Linked DNA regions of Struthio camelus. The protein of the gene in region 2 binds, or shares a complex with, the protein of the main gene of each other region. Links are inferred from orthologs where the notes say so. Each region holds a gene or a part of one and is shown on either strand. Other genes may lie near its edges.

The links.
Region 1: the proteins of PTPN3 (region 2) and MAPK12 are in contact, whole or in part, in a crystal structure (PDB 4QUM), measured with the Homo sapiens proteins. The link is inferred for Struthio camelus from reciprocal best matches to the Homo sapiens genes PTPN3 and MAPK12. Residues at the interface, in NP_002820.3 of Homo sapiens: Arg655, Leu671, Asn674, Arg675, Tyr676, Lys677, Asp678, Val679, Arg751, His812, Ser843, Ala844, Gly845, Ile846, Gly847, Arg848, Met883, Gln886, Thr887; in NP_002960.2 of Homo sapiens: Met182, Thr183, Gly184, Tyr185, Val186, Val187, Arg189.

The regions. Positions count from the first base shown.
Region 1 is NC_090942.1:22,879,044-22,886,243, forward strand, and holds the start of MAPK12 (mitogen-activated protein kinase 12), read right to left. Parts: upstream 3,202-7,200; 5' UTR 3,008-3,201; coding exon 2,892-3,007; exon of another isoform or gene 2,815-2,891; intron 2,801-2,814; exon of another isoform or gene 2,336-2,800; coding exon of another isoform or gene 2,218-2,335; intron 2,112-2,217; coding exon 1,982-2,111; intron 1-1,981. UniProt on the Homo sapiens protein: Serine/threonine kinase which acts as an essential component of the MAP kinase signal transduction pathway.
Region 2 is NC_090943.1:70,023,482-70,031,618, forward strand, and holds the start of PTPN3 (tyrosine-protein phosphatase non-receptor type 3), read right to left. Parts: upstream 3,169-8,137; 5' UTR 3,153-3,168; coding exon 3,107-3,152; intron 3,060-3,106; exon of another isoform or gene 2,905-3,059; intron 1-2,904.

The DNA.
Region 1 (7,200 bases), on a different chromosome or scaffold from region 2:
ACTGAAGGCAGGAGAAGCCAGAAACTCCAGGCCTTATTGTCTCCCTCTAAATCCATCCTTTGGTGGCAAATACAAAGAAGGAGGTCTTTGACAGAAGGGTGGTGGATCAAAAGAGGGGGGGCTGAAAATCCTGCTGAGGAGTGATACTGCCACGTTGGCCTAATTTTCGAAGGGCAGTGTGGTTAAGGGAGTAGCACGGGATCAGCAAGGGGCTAGAAATCCTAAAGGGCTTTGCTGCTATTCCCCATTCACAGTGGTCAAAATGCCTGGTAGAATGGTATGAGACTGGAATGGAGGATGGAAATTCTCTAGAAGGGTTGTACTGCCATTTCAGCCTCATCTTGGACGGGTGGAGCAGTTGGTTTCTGTCTCCACAATGCCTATGAATTCCTTGCATGACCATTTACTCACTCGTTGCTCTCTAACGAGTAAAGTCATGATGAAACTTTTCCTCAGTACCTAGACCGAATTTTTATTTCTGTGGTCCAAAATGTTTTCTAAGACTCTAAGTTCTTCCCTTCCTTCCTACGTATTCATCTGTAACTTGTACAGATTGCACTCATATTCCTCAGTGTGTGTTTTCTTCTAGACTCTTTTGATTGCCAAACAAGTCTATGGAAGGGTTCCAGAGTATTATCCTGAAGGGCATATGCAGCACAAAAAGAGCCAGTACTGGAAAACGCTAGCCACCTGAAGAACAAATTATTCTGAGAAATGGAAGAAAAATAATCTCAAAATTCGGAAGACAGTTAGGAGTTTGGCAACTGCATGAGCTGATCTGCTCCCAAATGTTGAGTACAGTAAATGCTGAGAGTATGAAAGACTCTGTATGACACACAAGTTAAACATTAACTCTTTAACATATATACAACAATGGTAAAAAGCAGTTATTTCTAAGGATTCCTCAAGTAAAACGATCAAATATGTTAAAAGAGTCAGACTAAAAGGTAAACAGGCACACGGGTTCATAAGCCTACAGTAAGGTCTGTTTTCTCCAGACAGCCGGGATATCGTAGAGATTATTCCTCGAAATGAACCTAGTTGTTGCTGGTACTCAGAATGCTAACACTGCAACGTGCAATGGCAACGACTGGCTATTGCTATTACTACTGGCTTCTCTCATTCTCACCTTCCAGCTCTTAGCTCTGCTCAAATAGCCTCCATGGAAAACTATAATCTCCCACATCATTAGCATTTTAAAATAGATTCTTGTATCTATCTTTTTAAAAGTCACCTGAAACTCTTTCTTCACATGTACTCTTCAGAAATAGCATTTAAAGCCACTAACTGTGATCTTCCAGTCCCACCCCGGGATCTTTCTGACCTGGTTTCCATTCATGCTTTCATCCCACAAAACTGTTTTCACACAGATCTCTCCTCCTTATCTCAGCATCCAGGAAGACACATTATGCCTCTAAAGCAATTTTTTTTACTCATTCGTAAACTCTTCCCATTTCCCATTAGTACAAACCTGAAACTTTCAAACGCTTCATGAAAGGCAAGACCAGACCTCTTCCTCGAGAGACAGGCGTGCATGCCACATCCAACTTCAAGCAAAGAGATGCTAGCAGTACAGATCCACACTCTCCCACTCTCCTACATCTCATGCGTGTGGTGATCGAGATTCAGATTTCGGGTCTCTTAATCTCTCTCCCTCTAGCTTTGAGCACAAATCCCACCGCGGTCCTAACCTTCTCCACCCAACCTCACGCACATGGACTGCAATGAAACTGCGTCCCACAGGACGCTCCAGTTTGCTTGAACTGGTATTTGCAGGTTAAAAGGCAGACGGACAAAAGACAGACACACAGGTCTTGCTGAAAGACTCCTGAATCCTATGCAGGTACTCAGCTGCCTTGCCAGGGCTGGTGTATTATGGAGGCAGGGGACAGCAGATCAGGGGACAGCAGCAGATCACACTTCTTTTTGGTGCCTGCAAGCCGCAGCAACCTTGAGGGGATCTGCTAATGACTGAACTCACATTTTCGTGCTTCATGTGTTTCAGGAGGCGCAGCTCTCGGTAGGCTCGTTTGGCGAAGAGTTCAGACTGAAACGGGCGGTACAGTTTCTTGATGGCCACTTTGGTACCATTCCTTCCGTCAACAGCTGAGCTTTAAGGGAACAGGAAGAGCGTTTCGCGGGCGAGGGCCGAAGGGGCTGTGGCAAACCCCACTGCCGATAAGCAGGTGCCTATGTTTGGCGCCGCCTCGCCCAGACCTCGACTTTCTACCTGCCGGTCGCTTGGCCTCCCTGCGCCGCCATTTACCGCGTCGAGGGAAAAGGGGGACGCCACCTCCCCGAAAGCCCCTGGCCAGCACAGCCTCCAGGGTCTCATTAGTTTAAACGCTGCCAGACCCCGCGATGAAAAGTTGCCGCTTTTCAAAAGCTTTAAAGACAGGCGGAAAAACAAACAAACAAAACCCAGAAGCGGGTAGCCCCTCGCCGAGGGGACAAACCCGGGGGGCAGCCGGCGCCTGGCGGCGGTGGCTGCTGCCGGGGGGAGCCCTGGGGCCGCGCCCCGGCCCCTGCCCCTTCCAGCGAGGAAAACACGTGTAGGGCGGGCAGGCACGTTAAAAACCACCACCACCACAACAAAAATATCCACACCTCCCCCGCCAAAAGCCCGCACCGGGCGCCGCCAGGCCGGCTGCGGTAAAACACCCGGGAAAAAAAAGTTGTCGGGGAACAAAGCGCAAGCGGCCGGCGCGACCCCCGGCTGCGCGGCGGCCGAGCCGCCAGGAGCCCCACGGCGACGCCATCGCGGCTCCCCACCGGCGGCGCAGCCCCCTCCCGCCTCGGGGCAGGACCAGCCGCGCCGGGGGCGGGGGAAGGGGCCTGGGCAGAGGGGGCGCGTGGCCCCCCGCCGCCGGCTGCTGCTCTGCCCCGCTCACCAGACGGCTCCGTAGGCACCGGATCCCACAGGCTGCAGGTCGCGGTAGCGGTCCCGTACTTCCCAGAGGGTTTTGGTGATCTCCTGCCGGTAAAAGCCTTTCTTGGGGGAGGACATGGTGCTGCAGCCCCCTGCCGGCACCTTCCCACAAAGAGCCCTGGAGGCAGAGGGCGAGGCGAGCGCCGCCGCGCCGGGCTGAGGCGAGGGGCTGGGCTTGGACGGGCTCCCTCAGCCAGCGCCGCTCTGGGCGAGCGGCGCCGGCGGCTGCCTGCCCCCTCCCCCTGCCCCTCTTCCCGCGCACCCTCGGCGGCGGGGAGGCCCGGCGGGGGCCGGCCACGTCCCCCACCCCCGCCGTGACCGACCTCCGGCCAGGGCCCCGCCTGGCGAACAGCGCGCCCGCCGCTTGCCAGCCCCGCGCCTCTAAAAACCAGGCTGGGGCGAGGCGTTTGCCACGCCGGGAGGCTCTGCGGGGAAGGGGCGGCGCAGGCCTGGTGCCCGCCGAGCGGAGCAGCGCCCAGCCCGGCCGTCGCCCTGCGGCGGGGTCCGGCCCGGCCCGGCCCGGCAGCGGCCCTGCTGTGCCCCAAGCGCTCCTGGACGAGGAGAGTGCGGTCCACCCCCGGACAGCCCAACGTGTGCGCAGGGTAAACGGGTCGTTCGCCTGAGCAGGTGCTAAACAAATAGGGAAGGAGGCTAAAGCACAATTCCTTACTGTTTTTTTTCTCTCACGCCATCTCCGTCGTAGCTTGCCTTTGTGCCTTCCTTGCTTGCAGCTCTTTCAATAGCTCAGCCCCGTTTCCCTCTCACATTTGTTTTTTCCTCCCTGTCCCGCAGCGGTGTGGCTAGCGGCAGGTGCCTCTACCTGTCCCTGCTCCGCCGTTCCTGAGCAGGCAGCTGAGCATCTGCGACCCTTCACTCAGAGACCAGGGGTAACATAACTGCCCCAAAGGTGCAGCAGGACGCAGGGATGCTAAGGTGTCGCTAAGGCTGGGAAAGCGAGCGAACCGTTCAGCCGGATCCAGTGTGCGTGCCCAAAAGCAGCCCGGTTGCAGCAGGGTGTGTATGTGCATAGAAACAGGTGCTGAGGCTCTTGCTTGTCTAAAGACGTGCTTAAGATCCATCTGCTTCTCTTGGCGCAGTTGCCTACTGCCTTGTGTTTGTGGATTTGATGGAGCAATATATATGTTATTGTTCTGTAGTTGCAAAGCTCAAGGTCTCTTCTCAATTCTAGTGTTTTCTCCATCAAATCTGTGGCTGTGTTACTTCTGCAGCAGGGTAGTGGCTTGGCGAAGGCAGGTGGAACTGGGAACCGGGAGTGAGGAGTAGGTGCTGGCCGCAGAAAATGGATGGTGAGTGTGGTGAGGAGGCCACCGCTTCCCAGCAGAGGCTTGGGAAACTTGTGCTGTGTTACGTATTGATTTACTGGTGTAAATGAGGAGTAAACTAAGAGTCTTTGCTGTGAAGCTGGAAGCAAATATATCCCAGCCTTCTCTTTGTGAATATACACCTTATGGTTTTGCACTCCCATCCGGGCTTGTTTTGCATTAGGGGTTATGTGCCGAATGTAACTGACTTTTACATGAAACTATTACCTAATAAAAAGTAAATACTACAAATGGAAAGAGGAAGAAATGAGAACTACAGACAAAGGCAAAAAACTGCATTCAGCTATATTCCTAGAGGCCACAGAATGATTTTACTGCAATTAATGCTATTTTGCCGGTAAAATGGAAGAGAATGGGTCAGTGGAGCAGAGAAATATATGATGGTTGTCGTAGGTGGTAGAAGCTGCAAAGACAAAGGGCACGTGTAGCAGCAGCACTGAAAAAAGAAGCAGGGAAGACGGGGCAATCTTTCATGTCTAGACGGAAGGCTATATATACACGGCCACTTCTCGCTAAAACTCGCTGCGTGCATAAGCATTTGACAGTAGCAGAAGGGAGGGGCAAGTGACTGATGGCTTTCTCCCCCCCTTACACCCTTGATTCCCCTCACCGCAGCCCTGAGGGGCTGTCATTTGGTTTGATGAGAGCAGGGCGTATGAGGGAGAACTTCCAAATTACCTTTGCACAGAGGTGTACAGCTGTGGACTTACAGTTTATCCTTATCTCAGGATCAACCCAAAGCTTCAATAGAATTTAATATATTTAAATAGAAACAAGTACACGCTTGACTTGGTTGCTCAGAGCAAGTGGTCCTATGCGTGTCTGGTGTGGTATGAAACTGTTCAAGGAGCAGCTTAGAACAACTGCAGTGCTGGTTTATGGAGAATAGCAACCTTCACAATATTTCTACGGTCAATAGGCCTGGTCCAGCATGCGTAACTACATGCAAGGAACTACTTTAAAAGATATTTTACATTTTCTCTGTATGAATATAATTAAAATACTTGTTCTTTGGGGTCTGGTAAAGCCTTTGTTTCGTCTGACTTCACCCCTGAGCAATGTTGCTGCTGTTAGATAACTCAGACTGGCTGTCACGGGAGTTCAGTTTGTGGCTTAGCTAGAAAGGGGCAATCTGGCCAAGTTTCGTTGCTCCTGTTGCCTTTTTGGTAGTTGCCGTGGGTCCAGACCTTTTTGTATGTAAATATCAGATTTGGAAAAGCAGCCCTGCCCTCCTCCTGTTGTTATTTACATGTCAGATACAGCAGGAAAACATGCTTTCTAAAATTGTCTGCAGAGCAGGGCTGCAAATTTACTAGAGGCCAGGCTGGCACAGTCTAACATCCTTCCATAGTATAGGTGTTTTCCAGTGCTGCTATCTGCAGATAGATGACCTGTTTGACTCCTTGTCTTAGTGAGACTGGAAACCAATCTTCTGACATTTGGCAGGTAATACAAACCTTGTGTCAAGTGTTAGATTAATGATACAGATTTGTTTTTAAAAACATAGTCTCAGAAGACTTTTTTTTTAATTTCTGATTCCGCTTTTATGCAGTGTTTGCCATTCACATGATGGCTAGAGTGAAATGCAGTATGGGTAAGAAGGCTAGAGCAGTGTTGTCTTCCACTCAGTTTTGAGCCGGTCTGTTATTTTTAATGTTAAATATATGTGTTTCTAATACAATGAGGATCAATTCTGCTATTGATCCCTAGCCCCTTTTTCCTCAGTCTAGTTCTGGCAAAATGATGCTTTGTTATTAACTTGTTCCTTTTCAGGGGAGGAAGAGGATGATTTTTATACTGTAGGATGAAAGTACTAAGCCAGCACCAAGCTAACATCTCACTTGTGCAGAAGATCAGAAGACAGAGCAAGAAGGTAGAGAAGATAGAGCAACTTTCTTAAGATATTTTAAATTCAAAGACAAAATTGGCCAGTGCTGGTTTTCCCATGTTTTTCCTTCAGGTAAGATATTACGTATACTTTGCTGTAGGTGGGACGGGGTAACAGCATTGGTCAAATACAAGATCACCCTTCCTCATCAGGTCACACAAAGCAGTCCACATAGAAGAACTGATAAACTTACGAAAAAAAATAGGAAATTAGCACTGTCATATGATGGGAGACTTTATCTAAGAAAAAAACCTTGCAAGTGTCTGTGAAAGGAGTGAGAGGAGATACTTAGAGACATCCACAGCTGCCAGATCTTATACTGGAGTCACAAAATGCCAGAGCCTCAGTATCCTACTGTTCCTGGGTGGCTATATGACATAGCATTTTCCCAAAGACAGTCTGCTACAATGAGACTAGTATGATACTACAGTCATACCTTAGCCCAGGCAAAGTGTGCTTGACAGGGATTTAAAAAGGAGCGCTACCCGATGTTTCTGTTTTCGACCTATATTTATTCTAAAGTCTGCAGAACAAAAGAGAGTAAGAGAATAAGAACTCTTTAAGGCAGCATGTCTGGAAGATAATTAATGATGGGAAGATCACACTTTCTTAATGCCTATCCTGTAAAGGGAAGGTTGGCAAGGTTGTTAACATGAAGAAACATTTGTTTTGTTTTGTTTTTTAAAGTGCCACCTTTCAATATGTTGGAAGGTTGCTATCAGCTGCAAAGTATATGGGGCAGATAGGATGTGTACAGTACCCCTTCTAGTCCCTCCAAGGACTGAGAACTCAATTTACACTCCAGTTGGGACATGAGTCGTTTGTGCTGGAGGAAGAACTGTAAGAGAACAGCGAATAAGCTAGCTACGTTTTCCTGAGGATTTCTGCCTAGGAAAAGTAGTTTTACACTCTGGTGAGAGAGTTTGATGGTAATTCAACCCAGAATGAACTATTTATCAACAGAGTTAAAATGGCCCAGGTTAGTTTGTCAGGAGATAAACCATGGGCTGATGGCCAGACCCTAAGTGAAGGGGGTGCAT
Region 2 (8,137 bases):
TAGAAGTTAGAAGGGAGAAGGCCTGTAATCACAGAGAGCAGGATGGGGCCAGACAATTCTTGACAGTGAAGTTAAGGGGAGTAAACTGGGGCAGGGTAGAGCATGACTTTGGAAAGGCGACTTGGTAAAGATCTACTCACTCTCTTGACTGAGACAACCCCCACCCCTTGTTTTTCCCCAACTATCCCAACAATAAATAGTGCCTTCACAAATAATTCAAGCCCACGTAGGGTTTTGTTGTTGTTGTTGTTCATTTGCTTTTAATGCAGCTGCCCAACTAATGAGCACTTATAATAAAGCTTCCTGTTGCTACCTTGAAGTAACAAGTCTCATGAACCTTATAAATATAAGCTTGTTATATTCCCTTGCACAGCAAGACTGATTTAATTCACAAAAATAAACAACTTCCTTGTTTTAGAACACAAGTCTATTACCTACTGAACTGCTGATATTGTTGAGTTTTGGAGCCAGAGGTTGGTTTAAGTCTCAAATCAGTTCATATGTGAAATGGTGCCAAGCATTTTTAACATACACACACACGCACCCACACAAAAATCAAGTTTTCCCAAGTAGATCTTACAGTCCCCAATCCTTCCTAGTTCAGCTTTTGTATTCCCGGCTGGCAGGTAAAATATTTATCTACTTCCCTCAAAGCAATCTTAGCATGCTGTGGCAACTGATTACAGAGGAATGCAGGCACAGTGCCAACTTTGCTGCTTTATACTAAAACAGGAGCAAAAAGGAGAGGTTGTTTATAGTGGTGAGATCCAACAAATCTCTCCAGGTTCCCTCACCATTAAGCACTTCACAGGACAGCGGTAACAAGTAACACTTCCCAAAAGGCAAATTCCTCAAAACATAATTTGGAAGGGCTGGGAGAGAAGAGGGAGTGCACTATAGCACCTTATCAAATCAGAACTATAATCACAGTACAGCCAGACTGAAAAAGAGGACAAAAGTCCAGAATTATTGTTTTCTTTCCTTAGCGTTTCTTTCACAACCATGTAATAAACTAGAAGTGTATTTTAAAGGAAAGGCATCAAAACAAAACCTGGTTGAGAACACAGTACTATGTTCTGATTCTGCTGAGGACAAGTCAATCAACCAAAAGCAAGTATTTTGCCAAATCAATGTTCAGGTAAACAGCCAGTTTACCTGAAAACATCAGATTGTCATAAGAGTTTTAAAGGAGAAATTAAGTTGAAATCAATACTTCAAGCAATATTGTCAAGCTTACTTTGCTTTGGTAACTGATTTAGATTAGCTACTTTATTTTAAAAGCTATTAGCTAAACCTTTACATAGAGTCCTAATATTTAAGCTTATACTGAGATTAGGAACAAAGATAATGACCTTTATTCTAGATTACCTACCCTATGTTACACCTCTGTAAAAATCACTCAGCTCAGTTTATTTAATCTTAATTGTTTTTCTAGTGCAAAATGTATCAGGTTGTGACCATGTAAGTGGTCTGCTCATCCACAAGAACTTTCTGAATGTGACATCAATATTTACATATGATGAACACGCTCAGTCTGCAGCTGATCTTTGGAACCAAAGTACAAACTCTGGCCTCTGCCATGTACACTTTTCTACTACTAATAAAATCTAGAATTTCACCTAAGCAAGTTAGTCTCTCAAAAAAAACATGAAGAGGGGAGAGAACACCTTTAGCATGTAACAGAGATTTATTAACTGTTAAATCCAGCCAAACTTCAGATATGTAAGGTATGTAACCTTCATCAGCGTTAAATTCAGGAAGCAGCTACAGCCCTTTTTGAAGCAATATGACAGGAACAGGAATCTTTTAAAAATAAAAGCCATATGCAAAACTAGTCAGAGTAAGTGGTAGCAGAGGTTTTTTAGGGATTGAATGCAGTTACAGGATGGCTGCCTATCCTGAGTTTGCAAACTAAAAGCAGCCACGAAACAACAAGAACCACAGCAACACGTTCGAAAAGGAAGGTTATGACAACTTCACAGTGCAGCACTGGCTGACAAGGCAGTTCCAAATCACGGGGAAAAAACAGAAAGAGAGAATGCCTCCTTGTCTAGTTCTTACCGCATTCATGAAAAAAAGAACTTTTCTTTCCATCGATCTTGGAAAGCACTAGATCAGACACCGTTCAGATGAAAAAATAAATCAGAATTGATAGGACTAATTGAATCAATGATTAACATAGGACTTGAAGAGTATAAGGGGTTCCAAAGAGAATAAGCAGATCAGTCATGAAACAAACTATGAGTAAAAGCATAATGCAATGGGTTGGAACAAAGTAAATAGTAACAAGAATATGAAAGCAATGCAGAAGTGGAGGAGGAAGAAATTATAGATTAGATAAGATAGCAGAGAGTGGTTATCTGCTATTGTTGAAACGATGATGAAAGTTTTTTCCTAATGAACTAGGAGATCAGAGCCAGAGAGAAAGGATTTAGGAAGGGCAACATACTTATGTGTACAGATCCCTACCAGCACCACTTAAAAATATATCTTTCATTAAATATAGACCATCAATTGCTGTGAAGCAGCTTAAGGAAAAAATCAATTCCCTAGGAGATTGTAGCTTGTTTTCCTAAATTTATGAGTCTAGACAGGTTATATCAGATCTCTCTTCATCAGTCCACTGATACCAAGTCTCAGGAATTCAGTGTTAAAATACAACTCCTGTTCCAAGGGCAGTAAAGAAGGGATTAAAAATATTTACAAGCAAAAGAATTACATATCTTTTGGAATAACATTGATAGATAAATTAAAGGAAGAAAAGACAAAATTAACCTTGTCATATTACAGTCAACTGAGAAACCATTGAGGATGACAATTACTTAGGAGCAAAAAGCAGAGAACTGCTTATTTCTGTTGGTAAAACATGCGTTCTGAATTTTTGAAAAGTTTGTTTCGGCTCACCACTTTCCTCGGATAACTGTTTCCAGAAATCCAAACCTCAGAGCACCATTTGCTTCCAACGCCAGCAATTTTCTTACTCTGCAAGCTGAACCACAAACTAGGTTTTAACACTGAATCTAGCAATGAGTCTGGCTGTGCTAGGCCCCAGCAGCTTCACTCTGAAGTGAGCAGTTCAAGGAACTCCTGGCCGACCCTTTCATACCATTGAGCAGAACATCTATGCCATCAAACAGAAAACAGAAGTGCATCTACTGCATCCTCCTGCTGCACTGAAATTGAATGTGGAGAGCCAAAAAAAGTCTCACTAACCAAATAGTAACAATTCAATACTAGGGAACGAGGAGCACGTTCACAAACAATGACCAAAGGTGGTGTTTCCAAAACACCTGAGATATATACTAATTTAGAAAGTTTGCTCTGTCTTATTGCTGAAAAGAAATCTGATATGAATCCTGTGCATTCCCTGCTTGTTAGAAAATGGACTAAATGGCAATAATAAACATTTAGAACAGAGGCTTCCTTTATTTTAGGGCTAGCCTGTTTGGGGATCTTTTGTCCTCCCCCATTCTCCCCCAAGGAAAGCTGTCACCTCAATTATTATATTTCTAATTGTGCAGACAAGAGTTAATTATAATCTAACTATCAATACAGAAAGATGACAGCAATATCAGTGCTGGAAGCAGTGCTATATGTTTGCATATGGTCTGTGATGACTGTATTATGTCAGAAAGTCAGGGAAAAATAGGGAAAAAAAAATCTATATTAAACATCTCTTCTCACAGGCAAACAGAATGGAAGCACCTTATTCCCAACTTAAGTGACAGGTCCTAAAATGGTTAGGTGCTAGGGGGAAAAATAAAAGTATACTTGATCTAGATGCAAAGAAAGAAGATATGAAATGATAAAAAGAAAAAAAAAACCCCTAATCTATAGCAATAATATAGCAGGTAAAAAACAGAAGGCTTTTACTTTAGAGGAGCACTGATCACGTTAACAATTGTTCCCTACTAAATGACTCTTAACAAGCTAGAACAACTGTGTTGGTTACCTCTCTCCCCTTCCCTTCCCCCATCCCCCAGAAAAAAGAAAGAGCCAGAGAACAGCAAAATTCAGACGTAACGGAGAAGGAGTCACTGTAAAAAAATATGCTTATAAAGTATTAGGCTTGGGCTGCAAAGTTGAGCATATGCAATAGTAGCCAGAAAGTTGCTAGCCAAACTCAGTGCAAATCATAATGCAACCAACTAGTCCCTACACTTCAGTTGATATGCAAGTAAGCACATTAGTACACAAGATTTTGAATATTTGTGTTTTTAAGCATATTTTCCCATAAGGAGGCTTACAGGACTCTGTCATCTCCACTAAGAGCTATTGAAGTCCCAGTCTCTAAAGAGTGGGTTTAAAGTTTGATGTTTTCTGATGCATTATACACATTTCATTGATTACAGATCTCACCATGCCAACACAGACCTTAGCATTATTTTCTGAGCAACTACACCACAGAATTTCCTTGGCAAAATTTGAAATGCTAGGTAGCATACCGTTACAAGGGATGTTACAAGCTTACATTCATTTTTGAATGTTTTCTGCAATGAACTGTCTCACAAAAGCAAGAAAAGATTTGCAGTAGGAAGTCCAACCACTAAAGGTTGCCATTTTGAAGAAACCTGGTTAATAATAATAAAGTCATAAAACAAATCAGGCTTCGATCACTTCAAATCGTCTTGAAAGTATATATATGCGATTCATAAGTTTGTCTTAACACGCTCAGTTCATTTTGCAACATAAAGCCATGTACTCAGCCATAAAATCCTCTTCAGTTAGGCATTCAACCTTTGATTTACATATAAACAATGAAGAAAAAAAGTAGTTGGTACAGTTGGTCAACTGTTTTCTGGCTATCTTTGAAACACGGTTTTGAATAACAACCTGATAAAGCAGTGTTTAATCAAGCAAAATCCCCTATGAGGCAACCTGACTGAGAGCTCTTTCTTCACTTTGGACTCTGCTCTCATAGGCATAAAAATAATTACTAATACTAGCATTACGGCCGTCTCTCCAATACAGAACAGCGTCAAGTCCTATCGTAACAGTACCACTGAGCAGTGGTAAACATTTTCACTAGTGGACTAACTTATTTCCCACGTTTATTTTCAGCAGAACAAGATCTGGGCTATTTTAACAAGATTAATGTTATTGTTATAGGATTAAACTATCACCAATACTATAGAAAAACATGGCTATGCATGAATTAAATCACAGAATCATAAAAAAAGTCTAGGCTGGAAGGGAATTCTGGAAACTACCTGATCCAACCTTTGTTGAAAGTAGGGCTTTAAATTAGGTTACCCAGGGTCCCATCAAGCCAAATCTTGAGCATTTCCACCGAGGGAGACTCCAACAAACCTCTGGGCAACCTATTCCAGTACTTAATTGTTTTTCAAGAAATCTGTGAAAAACATTCCAAACACATTAAGAGGAGTACATCGGTAGTTCAGTACACCAAGAAACAGACCCTCAAATCCAATATGCTATCCTAATTATCACGCTGTCAAATAACTCATACTCTAAGTATGAAGTGAAAACTGAAATTTTTGTATTGCAAGAATTATCCACCGCTAGAAGATTGTCATATCTTAACATCAACAACGCAGCAAGTACAACTATTAGAAGCTTATGTCTGCAGAACATTTATTTCACGTAACTACATTTTACTATATATACTTTACATCAACTACAATACCTCTAACTGCTCAAATTATTTGGATATTACTGAATATTTTAGTAACGTATTACTGACCTCTTTCAGTGTCTGCCTCTGCTACTGGTCACTCTGTCCTACCGAATGCTAAAGGCACACCAGGGTGATCACATACTACTAATCCCATCTCTTCCAGCATCTAGACTCACTTAGCTTTGTGCAATGCACAACTTCGCAATGGATTAGTCATGCAAGTTTCTTTATTCAGGGCAGTCCGGTAAGTAGCAAGCATAACTCTGCACCGCTCCCTAAAAAGCGCACAGCATAACTGTCCAATAACTGGGATCCAGATATTTCAGTCTACAACTTTCCTTTATATTTAAATCAGTTACATGCTACATCCTTCACTGGTATCCTGCCATTTTGTGACTATCATGCATTTCATAATTGGTTAATTATTTTATATGCATAATAAGCAAACGTGCAAGTTCCAGAAATCAGCAGAATCAAAAACTCAGCACATGGCGTATATCTTTAAATGCCCTTTTTGGGCATTTTCTAGTCTGCTCATTCTCCTTCGTGCAGCACTTATATAAACCTCAGCTGGCCAAGGCACTCACTGTGCTTAGGGGCCTACTAGCATGACCTTTAAGTCAGGTATCTAGTTTCTCATTTGCTCAGCTAGAATGAGATCAGAATTTGGATTTTGAGCCTTCATGTCACTGCCTCAAGCTATAGCTTTGTATAATAAACCCACAGCTATAACTGCGTTCCAGGGATGACCACACACCTCAAATCATTCAAAAATTAGCCTATTCATGCGTTACCAGGTATATATTACTACCAGCAAGACACATTTTTAACCTCTTTTAACAACAAACCAAGCTAAAGTAGATCTTCAATTCTAAAACCGATGAAATTTGAAAGAGAACAAAAATATGCATCAATCTTCACAAACATGGCTAGGTGCAACACTGAATAGAACAAAGATCATTACTCCTGAAAAGAAATTCAGGAAAGAAAGGTGGTGAACACAATGGAAACTTATTGGTCTCTGAACAACAACTAGCAAAGCTGGCTTTCCTGCAGGTTTTTGCTTTACAGTCCTAAGCTGCCATCTCTCCAAACCTGAGCTGCTCTTCTCTATTGCTCCCTGATGCCAAGCCTTTGACTCTCCAAAACGTTTCAGTACCCGCCCCCCGCCACAGCCATACATCAGGGTAGGTAGAGTGAGGCAACACTGGTAGTGGCTGAGTTCAAGTCAGGCACCTGCTCAGTCATTACCCTGCAGGCAAATTGAGTAGCTGCTGAGCCTCAAACTACAGACCTTTCCTGACTGAGGCTCCAATCCAGAGCCTCTTCTACACTATTTTCTTTCCTATACAATTTTTCATTTAATTCATAGTGAGCTTACTGTCTTTAGATCTAGATCTAAGTTTTTATAAAACTTGCTGAAACTAACAAACAGATTTAGAGAGTAAGGGAGGAGGAACGAACAACAAACATGCTCTTAAGACAACAAAATCGATCCAGGAGGTTAACGAATGATCCAAAGTTGTTGCGGGTCACCTGACAGCACATTAAAATTAAATGTACTGAAGAAACTGAAACTTTCACCTTGCTTATTCGTCAGGCATCAGATTGCCAAAAGGGATCTCAATGGATGGAAAAGAAGGAGAACAACAAACCTAGACTCATCACACTGTCCGGCCTTATCTGCTGGCGAGAAGCACATCCTCTCATCACCTTGAAGTTGCCATCTGATCGAGCCAGTAAAACAGGCTTTCTTTTTCTTTCCCCTCCCCTCCTCGTGCTAAGAGTTCAACTTTACTTTGTAATGTACAGCAAATTGTTGTAAAGCTAGTTTTTCTCCTCAATGCCAGAAAGAAGAGCAAATGAGCTTCAATGGAGGATGTGAGCCATATATAACCAGGAAAGGCTGTTACACAATTCTAGGTATATATCTGACAATTTAAAAACATTAATATGCATACAATTGACCTAGTACTGTTAACAAGTTTTTCAGAGCTTCTTAACATATGGCCCAAAATCTACTTTTGTACTGAAAAGGTCATAATGATCGGCATGCTATCTTTGTCCTAGAAGTTATTTTACTAAACTAGGAAATGGAAGAGAAGAAACTGAATTTGACATTTTAAGTTAATTTTCTGTTTACAAATGTTTGGGGGAAGAGGAAAAGTGGGTAGGAGATGGAAGGAGCAGGGAAGCACACAGGACAAAACAAAAATTACTTTTGCCTTCGGTAAACAAATGGGCACTTAGTATACTAAACAATATGCTGATTTCTCTCTTTCATCCCAGCTTAATACATACATTTGTCTTTTGCTTCCATCTTTGACACCCAAAAGAGAAGTATTTTTAAAAGTTTTCTTATGCTTGGAAAGATTTATTTTCTAGGCAACTAAAAAAACATATGCAGAACAACCTAGCATAAAACATGTCACTCTTTTTAAATAAGCCAAATGCCATAACATACACAAGTTAACAAGTAACAGGGTTTGTAATTGACAA